Drosophila melanogaster: one gene and its partners. The gene in region 3 interacts genetically with the main gene of each other region. Each region holds a gene or a part of one and is shown on either strand. Other genes may lie near its edges.

Region 1 (5,043 bases), 3.7 Mb from region 3:
ACGTTGCACATCTTTTATTATTTTAAATACCCGATTTCCAGATATGATCAGCCCGGAAAAATAGTGAACTAAATATGCAGAGCAGTAAAAGTCAGGCTAACATAGAAGTTATTTTTCAAAATTTGAATAACGCGCCAATAAAAATCCCGCAACGCGATCGGCCGTAGTGGCAACGCCGCTGCCACTAAACTCCGACTCTCTCTTTGCGCCGTGTGGCCAGATGATTATGGCCTTTTTTTTTGCTCTTTCATCGCTCTCTCGATTTCGATCTCGTCACAGTGCCACTTGCGATCATTGTGTTACTTTGGAGTCGCTGAAAAATCGCGGGGATCGCATCGAATTGGCCTTGACTGCCGTGGGGTTGAGCTAGCCGTGAAAAAGACCGCAGAACCACGATAAATCTGTCGAAAAAGGTGACAAAAAGGAGGCTATACTGTCTTGCTGGCTGGCGTGCGTGTGTATGTGTGCGGCGGTGTGTGCAATTTTTTTCATCACCATTCCAGTCCGCGTGTGTTTTTCAGTGTGCAATCCCGCTGAGAATTTGCCCGAATCCTGCCCAACAGCAGGTGAGTGATGCCGGCCAATTGGCCCATTCGATTTGCAGCAGGTGCAGGGTTCAAAAGTTCGTGAACTTGCTTTTTAAGCCATTTCCTTTAGACCCCGTTTTCTCCATCGATATTGTAGCAGTCGAAAAGTAATGGAAAAAAAACGTGAGCAGCGACGTCGACGTTTTTGCCTCTTTCTCTCTCTGTTCCCCTGCCCCTCTCGCGCTCTCTTCCGCGCCTTCTCTTTGCGCGCGCAGCTGTCATCGCTGTCAGCAGCGCGCGCCGACGTCGGGTTCCCGCGCGCGGGAAATCATCAAGTTCAATCGATTCTAATTTGGCCGAATTGAACGGGATTTTCGATTTTAGTGAAAAATCAGATTCTGCGAGTTTTGATCTTTCAATTGGTTATAGGCACGCATGGTTTTTCATTTAGCTTACCTGATTTATAAGCGCTCGAAGTTGGTGCCAAAAATGCTCGAATGTTAATCGATGAAAACAACAAAGTGGCAGTGGTTTGTTTGGTTTCAAAGCAGCGTTACCACCTAGTTCGACCTCAGTCATCTTGTCATATGTTATTTGGCTGCAGTTCATAAAAACTACTAGAAAAGCATATTAAACCATGTAATTTCAGGCTTCTGAAGAATAAATAAATAATTAAAATTTTAAAGATTTATGAATACCCTTCAAGATAAATTTATTTTAACCTTGAATTGATTTTGGAGCGCTTTAAAAATATATTAAAAAAAATAGTTTCATATTAAAATTTAAATATTTATTTTCTGAAGGTCATATTTGAATTAAAATTGGCATATGACATAGAAATAAATCTTAGGTATTTATATATAACCACGATATATCCGACTAAATCCGCCCTTCTGGCATCCTCGTCAGCTGTTTTTCGACCACCCAGCTGACTGGACGTCGAACCTCCAATTGTAGTCTGACTAGCCTGTTGGGGACTGGGGACTCCAATTGCAGACTCCATTCAATAAAATGCCAAGCTTGCCACCAGCGGCTTCATCGCCCCGTCTCGCTTTCTCACGCTCTGTTCTTTGCGCTGGAGATGCTCGCCCCATCTCCGTCCCTCCCCTAGAGTACAACAAAGTTGCCCCCTGTGTTTGTTGCATTTTTTGGCGCTTCGGATCCGCCTGTTTTGGCGCGTTCCTCATGCACACTCGCCGCAGTCGACGTCGCTGCTTTTGATACCCAGTTCCACCAATTTTTTTTTCGGTTCCAAAGCGATCACTTTGCTGCCGCCGCTCCGCTGCTCGTGAAGTTTTTTCGTGGCCGGCGACGACGACGACGAAAAACTCTCGAAAAACGTTGTTCAATTCCCTTTAAGAAAAACAAGTGAAAACACCGGGGATATTATGTTAAGCATTTTTCCGCTTACTAGAAGGTAAAACCAATTGCACAATGGTTTTAGTGGATAAAAGGCAATACGTTATTCAGAGTGGAATAAAATTTATGACGCGTGTGCGGTGACAAGTGTGTGTGGAACAGTGAAGGAAAGAGCGGGAGAGAATGCTGCGTTTGCCGTCGTGTCTTTGCATTTTTTGCTACAAATACAACATCCTCTTATAAGAAAATTGACACGCTGTAGGATTTAACCGTTGCTTTCTGATTGGCAAGAGACGGGGTGTCCAACTACAAATTGTCTCCCCCACACAGTGTTTTAGTGTTCCCCCTATAAGGAAAAGTGTCCTATTAGAATTAAACCGTTATCCAATGGGAACAAATTGGAAAATCCTATGAAATAAATGAAAGCTTCTAATCACGTCTAAAAGTGCACTGAGTTTCTAATGCGTAACGGGAGTTCAGTGAACTATTACAGCTTTTCTTACTATAGAAGGCTTGAGATGCAGCTTATGGTTTACCCTGCTGTTTGGGCCAACTTTCTAATCTTTCTCCCGCCCGAATTGCACTTTTTCCCGCCATTCGCATAGATTTTGGGCGGTAAAACAAAACTGCCCCAGCCCAAACGCCTAATTCGCGCCACTTTGCGTTTCTCCATTCTTTTCCCATGCTCATTTCATTTTTATACGCTTCCTCCAATGACACACACACAAGCACAAACTTGGAAGAAATGCGCTCGCTAAGAGAGAGAGTAAGCTCTCTTTCTCTCGCTCTCTTCCGTTTTATTCCAATCAGAACAGCGAGTCAAGTTATTTTCCCCTTCCCAACACCAACAACAAACAAAAACGTTTTAGTACTGCGCTCTAAAACGGAAAAAAAGAGAGCATTTGACTGCGACGTCGAAAAAATTCGGAAAATCGCCGATCAGTCGACGGACCTTTCGAAAACTTGACGAACACGAAGCAGAGGTTCAAAGCAAAATGGAGTAAACGAGTGAAGAACAAAATAATGAATTATGTCAAAAGTGGCGCAAATATCTTTGGTACACGAAGAAAAAGATTGGTAGTGGCATTTAGCCCTTACCCACAATCTACGTACATACATATGTATGTATGTTTACATATGTAGAATTAATAATAGTATTTTAATTATTGTAAAATCGTGGTTATATTTATTTTTGTGAGTAGTTACTCTATGTACGTGCTCCCAACCAATGAGTGAGCGAGATAGACTGCCAAGTGGAGAATGGAGTTCATTGATATTTCTCGGCGTTTTGCTTTCGCTTCCCCTTCGTCTCCACCTTGCTTCGCGCCATCTTCGTTCTTTCCTCTTCTCCTCTGCTTCCATTTACCTGCCACATTCATTTTGTTGTTGTTTTCTTCGCAATTTTTGCTTTCTTCTTTATTTTTTGCATTCTTTTGACGTTTTTTAGTTTGCGTGTTCGCTTTTTGCGCCGTTAAACTTTTGGAGCGATCGCGGCGGGGGTGTGCGTGGGGGGTGGGTGGTGTATTGTTGATGGGGTGGATTTTTGTATACTTAATTTTTCGATTATGTCATGATCGTGCCGAAAATCAGCCGCTTATGTTTAGATTTGGCCAGTTTAAACCATGGGGAAATAAATTGTTTTTCTTAGAAGTGATTTTGAAAAAAGTAAGAGCATCAAGTTTTTGATGATTCAGTGTCGTGAATTTTGTATATTTTCCCAACATTTTCTTTTGTTTGACCCACCTAAACACTCCTTATATGATCTATTCAAATCCTAGTCAACACCTTTCAATTCTGCTCATGATCCTCCAAGTGCTTGCCACCTTCGAAAGCGGTATGTCATCAAAGGATTTTCTAGACGAGATGGGAACCCAAACTGATCTCGAATATTTTCTCATCATATGTACATACATACGTAAATGGTTATAGGAATCCACACATATCAACTGGCCATATTAACCCGAATTCCTAGTAAAATACCAACAATATTTCTCAATTACAAGTGCGGAATGTTTTACAAATATTACATGTTCTCCAAAAGGATGAGTTGTGAATAGTAACTCCTTAAATAAATGGTTCATATGTACATATGTATGTATATGTGGGCATTTTTTTTTTATAGTCCATACACATTTTTGTCGCTGCGGCAGAAGAATCCGATTCGGAATCGGAATGAGGTGAAGCCGTATGTATGAGGAGCAGAAACAACAATGATAAACAGTTTCCAGTTATTCCCAGACAAACAAAGGATAGTCCGTCCGACTGGCGATTTGTGGAGCGGGGAAGAGACAGGACGCAGGCCACTTGAGCTAGCTGACTCGCTGTGGGCATCCTTTTAGACGCTGCTAAATATAAACTAAATAGTCAATTGAGCGCGTCCCGATGTCCTAACGGCTACTTCAAGGCCATCGATTCTTGGAACTGGAACGCCGCCGTCGCCATCGCCGCCGCTGCCGCTCCATTCAAGAACTTTGATTTGTTCTCCTCCATCGGCTGGGCCGACTTTACTTTCACACGCCGTTTTGCCCAGGCGGCGCTCTTTAGATACCCGGCACACAGATACTCAGATACTCGGACTCACAGATACACTGATGCGCGCAGGCGAGGATCGACTTTCCTGTTCTCGTTTGCAGTACCCTGTAGTTCTGGGTAGGGTGGGCATATGCGACTGAAGCAACACAGCAAACTTGGGCCAATTGACCATTAGAATTTAAACGCATTCATGAGTATGAAAAGGAAGCATCAAAGATCGGGTTCAATTCAATGATGCTTATAAAGCAATCTTCGTGTATTGGTTTAAACTTTTAGTAGTATTATTTATAGTTTCATATTATGCAAATATGATTAGGCTTTCGATTTGAGAAAATATCTTCCTAATGAACTTCACCCTCTTACCCTATCAGCATTATGTAGCTATGTTGTTACACAACTCCTGCAGACTTTCGGTCCACCGAGTTCCAACTAATTGCAAGAGTGGTGGCCAAACCACAACAATGGAGAGGAGGCGGCATTGGCATGGACAACGCCACAAATGCCCAGATGCATGTGCATTTTTATCTCGAGTATCTCAGGAATGTATCTCGCCGCATGTGCAGAGGAGCCCAAAATGCAGCCCAAAAAGGACGCACAAAAATTGCAGGCCCAGACAGTTGAAGAC
Region 2 (5,241 bases), on a different chromosome or scaffold from region 3:
TTGCCATGCATCCAACGACCAGACCATTTTGTATTTCTTGTAAGACATTCGGACTTTAAGCTTCCAATATTGATGAAAATGGGGCATATGAAAAGTATATAAATTTGACTCACCGGAATCTGAGGGGGTCTCCAAATTGGGACCATCGTCCACCATATCGTTGCAGCGCGTGTAGCTGTGATCGGTGATGTGCATCATGTGCAGCATGCCGTTGCTGTTGTTCTTCAATTTGTTGTTTTTGTTGTTGCTGTTGTTGTTGTTGGTGGTGATGCTGGCATTGCTGCCGCTTTTGCTAGTGCGATGATGGCGCAGGTCAAAGTTGAGGGGTTCACCGTCATCGGAGTCACTATCAGAGCCGGTCGTCGGCGGAGAATCCACTGTGTTGCGTCCAGTGGCTATATCGATGGCCTGTTGTTGCTCGTCCAGTTGCTGTTGGTTCAACTGCTGTTGGCCACCCGTCGAATTGGAATGCTGGTTGAGCACATCGAGGACATCGTTGATCGGCGGGATGTAACGCACCGGCAACGGATCCTTGCCGGTATTCTGAAGCTCCCTGCTGATTTGCTTAATGTAGTTGACATCGCTATCATTGCCGGTCAGCGAGATATTATTGCTGCCCATCACGCAGGCACGCAAGTCGACGTTATGTCTAAACTCTGAGGCGGCCACCTCGTCGGTAAGACTGTGAGGTGTGTCTGGTCTCTGGTATTTTATGCTATCGCTGCCGCTCAATTCGCCCGATTTGCGGATAATGTCCTGGTTGTTCCGCTTGCGGAGCAAACTTCCGCCGGGCGGTATTAAATGGACCTCGTCCTGGATCTGTGACTTCTTGTCACCGCCGCTCAAACGGAGGCGCTTCTGACAGACCGTGTAGTCCAGATCTGCGAGCTCCTTCTTGATGATCACCGGCATGTTCTCGGCACTGTTGACGACATGCTGTTGATTTGACTGGGTGTTATCTGTCGTCTGCGATCGTTGATACGCGCTGTAGAGATTCGTAGAGCCGGAAACCATCGCCAGGGATACGGCACCGGTTTCGCTGTACGACGAGGCTGCACTGTTTCCGCTCTCTATTCCATTACCGTTACCGCTGGTCAAACAGCTGGACATCGCCGGCCACATGCAGTCGATGTTGCGGATCTCTGGCTTCATATCCTCCTCTAAGTCATAGTCTTGAAATACACTTTCCATGTCCTCGATCTTCTCGAGATCACTCTGAATGGTGGACGACGAAAGGAGTTTGTCCATATCGTACAGATCATTATCCATATCGAATATTGAAATATTTGAAAAAAGTTGGTCGTCCATTATGGAATACGGATCAGAGCGGTAAAGGGCCATTGCGATTATGTTGTCTGGGTTTTTTTTTCTTTCTATATATCTTAAGTTCCTGAGTTATATGCCTGTCTGAAAAATATAGATAAGGCGGAAATCGTTGTAGGTATGATTCTATATTTGAACTTAATTAAATAAATATGTCGGCAACACACTTTTTGAAAACTTCTTCAACATAAGGATTTTTGCAACATTTCAACTATAATGTAAGAGTAACTAAACTCCTAATATTATTATTGTATTAAGTCACGTTCTACTGTGCCAGATTTCACCTATAATGACGTCAGGCGATGTCGAGGGTTCAGCAAATGTTATCAAAAGCAAATTTAGCTTATAGCTTCATTTATACACTATTAACCATTTGAACCCGAAATCGTCAATCTTGGCGCTCTTGACAATAGCAAAAAAAAAAAAAAAATACATATACTAATGAAATAAACAAGGGCATAAAAGGAAAACCAAATATCAAATACCCAATTCCAGTTACTGAAAAATAAACGGTCCTTTTACCGATAAACGCAGACCTGCAAAGCTTACTGTGCTTTTCCCTTTTCGTAGAATCCGTTGCATTCCGGTAAACAAGTACGAGCAAAAACTAACAGTACATGTCTTTCGCAGAATCGAACGCAACCCGGTATATATTGAATTTCAGAATCATAGTAAAATTGGAATATCAACATTTATTAAATTATTATTTAAATCTTTTTAAATTTATTAAGCTAATTTATTTCTTTTTTAATTTATCAAGCTAATTTATTTCTTTTTTAATTTATCAAGCTAATTTATTTCTTTTTTTAATTAATTGATTTATTTCTCCTTTAAAAAGTTTAATACTTTCGTAAAAATTTTGGGACCATTTTATTTAATTACTTTGGAGCCCCAGAGTTCTGGAATTTTCGAACATTACCAACTCGTTTCAACGCCATCAAAGCGTTTTTAATACTTGCCAGCATTAAGAAGAATTTCACAAAACAATAAAGAACTTTGTAGAATTTTGTTTTGCAAAATTCGTCCACTTCCACTTTTCTATTGTCTCACTTTTTGTTCTTAATTTCTTGTAAGCACTTGATTCTTAACATTCCTTCTGAGTTCCTAGAATCCGTTATTTCGTATCGATTTGTGCGGCCATGATCACTGATTTGTCATTGTGTGTGAGAGCACCGTTAAAAGTTAAGCTATTTCACCTTTCCCAGAAATTCTATTTTGAATTCCCCGTAGTGGCGCGATTTTTGAAGTCGTTGCGTTCCGATAAATAATATATATTATATATATATATCTTTGCACTCACCTCGCTGAACATAGTTTCCGTATCCGTCTCTATTTAATTGATTGTAATCCAATTTAGTTAGCTTCCTTTGCTTTCCAGTCGCTTTCGGCTATATCTATTTCTATCCCGTTCCCGTGCCGCCAGCAAGTTGGGCACTTTTTTTTTTGCGTCAAAGAAGGGGAAAGACGGAGAAAAAACACCAAAAAAAGGGACACAAAAAAAAATTCTTCCCGTTTATTTTGCACTAGCTGATTTTTTTTAAAAAATCTTTTTTTAATTCTAGTTTTTCACAAGTTTTTGTTTCTGCTTTGGAGAAGATTTTTTTTTATGTATTTGCGCGGTTTTAAGTCGGCTCTTAGGTTATTTCTGGGATTTAGCACTTTTGTAACTTGGCTGTGACAGTTGTTAGTAGTAGTTGTATATTTTAAAACGTGTTGCTTCAGGTTTTACTACAGAACTATTTATATAGCGTTTGGTTTTTTTTTTTTGTATCGGGCGGAAAACAGGCAAAAATCCAATCCACAAAGCGATTCTCTGAATTACCCGCGGTGAACTGAACACGCGACGCCACAGAAATAGTGCCCGTTTCATGTTGTCTGTGGCTTAAATAAAATTTCTATCGTACCAGACTGCCGCGCTCTCTGCGCTCTCACTGCGCATGCTCACTGCTGCTCTCTTTGCTGGAATTCGCTTTAAGTGGTGAGAATAGGAGCTTCAACAAAAATCTTCTTTGACATTTGGATCACATTTAGATCACATTTGGATTCATCACGATTTGTTAATACTCGAAGGTTTTCAAATAGTACGCAATGCATTTAAAATGATCAATGTTTCTTTGCCTCTCCCGCACACTGGTTCACATAACAGCATCAGTTTGCCGGTATTTTTTTTTTGAGTGAAAGAGAGTGAGATTTTTGAGTGGTGTTTACAATAATTGAGCGCAAACAAAATTGAGACAAATCGCAAATTGCTCCGTAAATAAAAACATAAACAATTAACTTGAACTGGCTCAAAATGTTTTTGTGAAATAAATGCAATACGAAAATGTGTAGTTGACTGGAAATCAAAACAAAATTTTATTCATTTCCTTAATTTACTTACGGTATGTATATTAAAATATAGAAATTAAATTTATAAATATACGCATTTATTTATGTTAATGTTAATCGACATAAAACTACAGGTTTCAATTGCTTTTCTGTGGCATTATTTGGGATTCTTCATTGCCGCATAAATGTTTCCTATTTTTAAATCGATTTATTTTAAGCTCTATTCCTTTTTGCGTAGAAGTTGCGAGAAGTTGTTCATTCCCTCTTGCTTTGGCGCCTTACATTTCTTTCGTATTTCCTTCTTGCCCTTTCCTTTATCTATGCATGCATTTACCGTACTTTTTTTTATGTGCGTGTGTGCCTTTGTCACCTCTTTGTCTGCCACGCAACTTCATTTTCCGTTTTGTCAAGTTGATTGAACTTGTGAACTTTGTAAACAATGCAGAATTCATTTAACAATAATAGAAAAGTTAGGCCGCATGGTAGAAACAAAAGAAGAGCCAAACATTTTGTTAACGAATTAAACGATGCCAAGGAAATGTAAAAAGAAAGGGAAAAGAATAGAAACCAGCCAAAAATATTACAACTTTGGAAAGAAGAAGTTGTGGAAGAAGTAGAAAAGGGTAATAAGGTAAAGGCGGATAGGAAGCAAGGGGACCTTGAATGAAAAATAGAATATAACATGCACAAGCATACGTCTCTACATACATACATACATATGTATGTATGCACATTCCAACAAACTTCTTAATAACTGTTTGTAAAATACAATGTACATAGTATGTGTACTACATACAAATAATGATTTGTGCATGTGTACATATGTTTATCGCACAAATATGTACATATGTACACATATATCAACCTTTAAAAATCGACTTGAAAGGACCTGCATTTTGAATTTTGCCCCTTTTAGAGAGTATTAAATCATCAGGTGGTTCCGACGCAAAGTTCCTCCCGCTTTCTACACCCCGTCGATTTTGTTACGTTTCGCTTTGATTTTCATTTCCACAACTTTTAGTGCACAACATAGCGCTTTTGGCGCGTGCATCTGCCCTCTCTTTCACACGCTTTGTTTTGATTTCGCAACGAGGCGAACCAGCAAAAAAAAAATGCACGCTGCACACTCGCCCAACTACTCTGCAATTTGCACATTTAATTAATTGTTTGTACAAGCGACATATTAAAAAAAAAAAAAAATTGTTTAATTCTTCTGTCAATGGAAATCACAAACAGCCCAATAAAATTCACCTTCCAACATTCCGCTTTAGTATCCATAAGCATACAAACAGCCATTCGTTGGCAAAAAGCGATATGCTCCACTTTTACAGGGTACAACTGCGTCACAGACAAAAAGAAATGGTCCCGCAATTTGCGAGCTTTTGTCCGTCCAAGTTCTCGATTTCAATAAGTAATATTTCTTGTGTTTCGATGTTTGCGCAATTTATGTTTGCGTGTGCTGCTTGTTTTTGTAATAGTATTAAACTATTTTCTGCACTTTTTTTTTGTTTCGCGGGTAAATGGAAAGTGTGCATGGCGAGATAAAACAACTGCGTAAATAACGGCAGCAAGTGGCTGCCGAGTTTCCAT
Region 3 (5,489 bases):
AATCCGTGCACAGATCTTTGCCAATCTACCTGTTTAAGCCATTTGCCAATTCCGATTCCTAAGTCGATTGTAAAGTCAATATTTACTTTTCACCTCGATGGCCAGAGCGATAGAGCAAATAGCGATTAGGAGTTTTTTCTAGATTAAAATAATAGAGCCAGTGTGCGTTAGGCTGTCTGAGCTGTCTGGAGGTGAGGATTCAAGGATAATGACTTCATTAATTGCCATCGCTCGGACACGTAGAATATGGTTGGGTAGGCAGATCCCCGAGGATGAGGTGTGAATTTGAGGTAAGTCCGAACGAGGGCAATTACTCCATTTACTTCGTAGTCCCATAGGGACCAACACTCTCTATTCGATGGAATCGAGGGGGCAATTAACACCTTGGTTGGAGTTGTCTTCGCTATTTTGGACGTTCCAAATCATCATCTTGCATTTCGGGAGTTTTCTCTTCTTTTTTTCCGGAAACTATGCGACCCGCTCACAGCTGGATCTGAAGTTCCGAGAGCAGCAATCGGAATCGGTATCTCACCCGGGGCGAGTGTTGAGATCTCCAGCCAGGTCCGTGGAATGCGCAGCTACTAAAAGGCTCTAATGGCCCAGAGGATTTCCCATTTCCCGCTGCGTACGGAAGCGTGTCAAGGCTGCTGAATGGCCAGCGTTTCGAGTGAAAGATCATTGGAGTACGTTGTAAATTAGCATAGATATATTTTTTTATTTAAGAGCACTTGCTACTTAGGCTAATCATCTTAAACTCTAATCCTAAGTCGGTACTATTTTCTAGGCTTACATCTACGAATTGGAACTAATACATATGTTTATTGTTTAGGAGCGAGTCTGTCAGCGGTTTTCCCAAACGGAAAATGTCTGTACTGCTCCACCACAAATAAAATGTTATTTATATTTTCGTCCCCTGCTCTATGGGTATGTACATCTTTGGCGACTTGTACCATGGATCTGGTGACACCTGCTCCTGCTCCTGGAGGAGTAGGTGGTGGATCCGTGTCCCTTTGATTCTAGTACCATGAGGGATAGAACGGCTGTGGCGGCATCGTTGTGTAGTTGACCTTCGAGGGCGAAGGAAAGGCGGCGGCATTGAAGTTCTGGGGCATGAAGTGCGCCGACGAACTGGGCGGCGGATAGTGCGGATGTGCGCCTGCGTACTGCGGATGCGGATGTGCGTGCGGATGCGGCGCATGGGGATGTCCGTGATGCGAATGGGCGTGGCCTGGTGCCGGATAGGATGCATACTGCGGCGTATGCTGATACGGATGGAACATCTGGTGGGCGGTGACATCCAGAGCCTGGCTGGTCGAGCTGGTGGAGTTCAGCGAGTCCTCCGGCGAAAGTGGCGCATTGGGGCGCAGTGCCTGCATGGAGCTCCATCCGCCGTACAACTGCGACTGACTGGCCGCGATCAGGTCCACCGATTCCACTTTCAGGGCAGCCGATAGCTCCTCACTTCCAGCACTGGCATTGGCCAGCGACTGCGAGGGATCGGCTCCCGAGTTGGCCCCACTGGAGGAGGTCACACCAGCTCCACTCACCACCGCGGAAAGGCTGTTGGGTGTGGGTGGCAGTTGCCCGAAGGCGGAGGACACGGACTCGTTGGGGCTCTCGTTGCGTGGCATAGTCTGGTGGGTTTCCGTTTCGGTGCCGTAAACTGAACCCAACTGAGTCTCATAGCTGGAGACGATGATGTTCCCGGTGGGTGTGGTGTTGCCATTCTCACCCGGCATTATGTAGCTGGCTGTGTTAGCGCTGGGATTGTAGAACTGATGGTGGTGCGGTGGCGTGGTTGTAATTCCGGGCGATAGATTACTACTGGCCATTGGAGCTGCGGCGGATACGGAAATGTTGGCGTGACTGCCGTAGAAATCGTATTGCTGCTGGTACACAGTGGCTGGATCCAGGGATCCCGGCATCATGGCCAGCGGAGCCATGCTGGGCACACTTGATACCACACTGGGCAAAGAGCTGGACGCGGCGACATGGCTCACTGAGGCAGCTGCTCCGCCAGGTGCTCCGCCCGAGACCGAGGTGTGCTGCTTGCGGAGACGAGCACGCCGATTGCTGAACCACACCTGAATGCGTGCCTCCGTGAGATTGGTGCGCTGGGCCAGCTCCTCACGGGTGTAGATATCAGGGTATTGGGTGCGCTCGAAGGCGCGTTCCAGTTCGTCCAACTGGGAAGCGGAAAAGGTGGTCCTGCAGCGGCGCTGTTTGCGCTTCAAGGCGATTCCCGGCTCACTTTCACAGTCAGAGATGTCCTCATCGGAGGGCTTGCCGTTGTTGTGATGGCCACCTGAGACATCGGAGCCGCAGGAACTCGATGCTTTGGTGCCATCACCCGCCGGAGATCCAGAGGCAGAAGACATATCATTGTCCAATGGAGCATCTCGGCCGCGCACCAGGCGCGATATGGCGGACACAGATGGTGCTGTGCTCCTGTCGCAGACACCCTCGCGGATCAGCTTCTCCCTGATCTCCCACGAGAACATGCCCGGGCTACTGCGCTTGTACTCCTCAATTCGGTTCTCGATTTCGGGCGTGGCTATCCTCGGCTTGGAGCCACCAATTACGCCTGGTCTAATGGAGCCAGTCTCCTGGTAGCGATTCAGGATCTTCGATACGCAGCCATGGGACACACGTAGCTGTCTGGAGATCACACAGGGCCGAATGCCATCGGCGGCCATCTCGACGATTTTAAGACGAATATTGTTGGGCAAAGGACGACCGTTGATGAAAACTCCACCTAGTTGATTGACGCGCCCCTGGCCGCTGTTCATGTCTGGAATGAGGAAGATGAGAAAATGGAAATTTTAGAGGCTTTTCCAATACTAGCTAGGTAGAGCGGAGCGCGTGTCACTTGATTTACGACACCTTCGACCGGAGTTGACTTCCCGGGAAGACGGGAAACTCGGAGCTAAGGTCGAAGGTCAGAGGCGCGCGACTCTCCCGCCGGGCAACTAATGGCCATTAGAGAGTAGCCGACGGCCTTGGCCCAAACTGAGATCTTTAGCGGGATCTTGAGCCGTCGGTTTAGAAATGAAGATATATGGAAATGATCAACTAGGCTTTGATATTTAGTAAGTACATTGTGAAAGTGACTTATATTCCAAAGTGACTTTTGCTGGATGTTGTATATAAGCGATAGACACTCACCTTGCATGGTAGAATATCCATTGAAGAAGGGTCTGTGCATTGCGGCAGCAAAGGCGGTTACGGTCATAGTTTCTGGAGGAGCTCCAAGATGCGTAAGCTTGTCCCGGCACAAAACCGGTGTTAACTCAGTCTCGAAGTTCGTATATCACTTGATTATATCACTTTAGTTCTGGACAATGTCTGGACACTTTGTCAAAGTCATAAGTAAGCGTTGCGAGGTATTGATTAACCGATTAGTTGCACTTCGAATATCTAAGTATCTGTTAGTTCGCAATCTCGATGGGAAAGATGAAACGGAGGCGAAGGCGAAGACGAGAACGAGGACGAGATGCGGTGTGGCTCGTTGCGCAGTCTGTGCCTGACTGACTTCACCATCCGAACGTCGGCCAAGATCGTTGCCTTTCTGTGAAGCCACGGCCCAGACGTCGGCCATATCCCACAGTCACTTGGCAGGTAACCACTACGCGGACCAATCGCAGCGCTCTCCACAACGGCATCTCGCTCTGGCTCACTCGACCCATTTAGCAACCGTCTCGCTCGCCGCCAGGGGGCGTCTCAGCTGTGAAAAGCACCGTGGAATGGGAGAAGAGCAGAGAACTTTGGATTGGGGGGTATACGAGTACAAGGGAACCACAATACTTCTGCTCCAGATCCTGGGCATTCCATCCATTCAAATCCTATGCATAGTTTCGACTTTCACTGGTTTCCGGAAATTAATTAATGCCGTAAGTAGCACGATACAATTTAAGCGTTACATATCCTTTATGGATACCTTGTTATAAGGATAAGGGAATACTGGACTTGAGAGATCAGTCTGCCTGGCGTTTGCTTTTCACTCTTCACTTGAGATATTCTTTGGGGTTCCACTTGGCCCCGGAAATCAAATTAGATATTCACTGGAACCCATAATGCAATCGAGTACGCGTTTAACACTCTTTACAAGCGTAATATATCCTTTATTGATACCTAATTATGGCTTTCGTTTATATTGCCACTCGAGTAGCCTCTTTTCTCTCAGTTATTTATTGCTTTCGGAAACGGTGAACAAAGTTCTTCATTTCAAATTGTAGGTTTTATTTTAATTATCAGTATATTACATATAAATATAAAAGTGTGTGTTTAGAACTATCTATTGATAGATCATAGTAAATTATTTTCAAACAAAATAAGTGAGATATTAAATATATAACACCATATTGGATGCAGGGAAACATATTCAGTTGAATACAAAATCAGCGACTATTGATCAGTTTATGTTTCCAACTTTCCAATTTAACATTTAACAAAGTGACTTCATCCATATCCTTACCATGACCGCATCCACATCCTTGTCATGCTTTTGCCACCATTATGCTCCGCTGCCTCCGGCTTATAACCATAGTTTCGACCCTTTTCTATGGGCCGTCGTGGGTTTGATTAATTGTAGAATTTCACGCAACAGAGACCCTCGAAAAGAAGTTAAACAAAACCGATGGAAAAGAAAAGAAAGCGCCGAGTGGGATAACAACAAAAACCTGAAAGCCGCGAACAATAGAGAGCGCCAAGTGTTGCAAGAATTAATGATGGACCCCAACCTCCGTTTGAAACGCCAGCGAGGAAATTGACCCACAGAGATGTGACGAATGTGCATGCTCCTCGGCAGGATCCGTATCCAAGTGCCGGAGTGCAAGATCCAGATGAGATGCAGATCAAGGACAACGGAGGCCGCAAGGCAACAAAGGTTGGGTTTCTACTGCTCGGTGCGGCTGCCCGTTGGGCGTTTGGTTAAGCAAACCCAACGGGAGGAGTTCGCAGTACCAGGCACCCAGTATGGAATCGCTACATTTGCGCCTGGCAGGATAGCAAAAATCCCCGATGACCTTGAGCCCATGGCCACGATGGCAGACTAGCAAGTATTCTGTGATAATTAAATTATCCTCAAACATATGTAACTCGAATCAAATGGAGAGGCGCCTCAATCCACCATCGATACCCACCATTCGATTTGATCCTCGTTGATTTCACAATTTGGCAGGACAATGAGCGCTGAATAGGCAACTCATATAACGCTAATTTCGCGCTATCAACGCTTGGAAAAAGGCGATTCTGCTATGGGATCGTCACTTTGGGTAGAGAAAGGTCCTGAATCCTGGCCGAAATGCAGGAAGCAGTAGGAGGCATCGGTGCCATAAACGCTGCAAGTCAGCTTCGCTCGCATTTCCACGAATCGGCCAGCGGGAAAATGAAGACACATCCGTGCAATGAATAAGGATGCTAAGAGACTTTTTATGATGCCACCCAGGGTGCTATGAATGAAAATCCACCTCGCGATCCTCAACTTTCGC

The links.
Region 1: of prd (region 3) and CycE, changing one suppresses a phenotype caused by changing the other (phenotypic suppression), as found in Drosophila melanogaster (2 studies listed by BioGRID).
Region 2: of prd (region 3) and Myc, changing one suppresses a phenotype caused by changing the other (phenotypic suppression), as found in Drosophila melanogaster (2 studies listed by BioGRID).

The regions. Positions count from the first base shown.
Region 1 is NT_033779.5:15,743,356-15,748,398, reverse strand, and holds the start of CycE (cyclin E), read left to right. Parts: upstream 1-1,788; 5' UTR 1,789-1,915; coding exon 1,916-1,944; exon of another isoform or gene 1,945-2,142; intron 2,143-2,755; exon of another isoform or gene 2,756-3,007; intron 3,008-5,043. UniProt on the Drosophila melanogaster protein: Essential for the control of the cell cycle at the G1/S (start) transition. Targeted by archipelago for degradation by the SFC ubiquitin ligase complex.
Region 2 is NC_004354.4:3,371,106-3,376,346, reverse strand, and holds the start of Myc (Myc), read right to left. Parts: upstream 3,189-5,241; 5' UTR 2,624-3,188; intron 1,408-2,623; exon of another isoform or gene 1,404-1,407; 5' UTR 1,342-1,403; coding exon 114-1,341; intron 1-113. UniProt on the Drosophila melanogaster protein: Participates in the regulation of gene transcription. Binds DNA in a non-specific manner, yet also specifically recognizes the core sequence CAC[GA]TG. Seems to activate the transcription of growth-related genes; required for cellular proliferation and growth.
Region 3 is NT_033779.5:12,082,298-12,087,786, forward strand, and holds prd (paired), read right to left. Parts: upstream 3,531-5,489; 5' UTR 3,233-3,530; coding exon 3,166-3,232; intron 3,082-3,165; exon of another isoform or gene 2,846-3,081; intron 2,792-2,845; coding exon 1,017-2,791; 3' UTR 698-1,016; downstream 1-697. UniProt on the Drosophila melanogaster protein: Pair-rule protein expressed in a segmentally repeating pattern to define the polarity of embryonic segments. Capable of sequence-specific DNA-binding.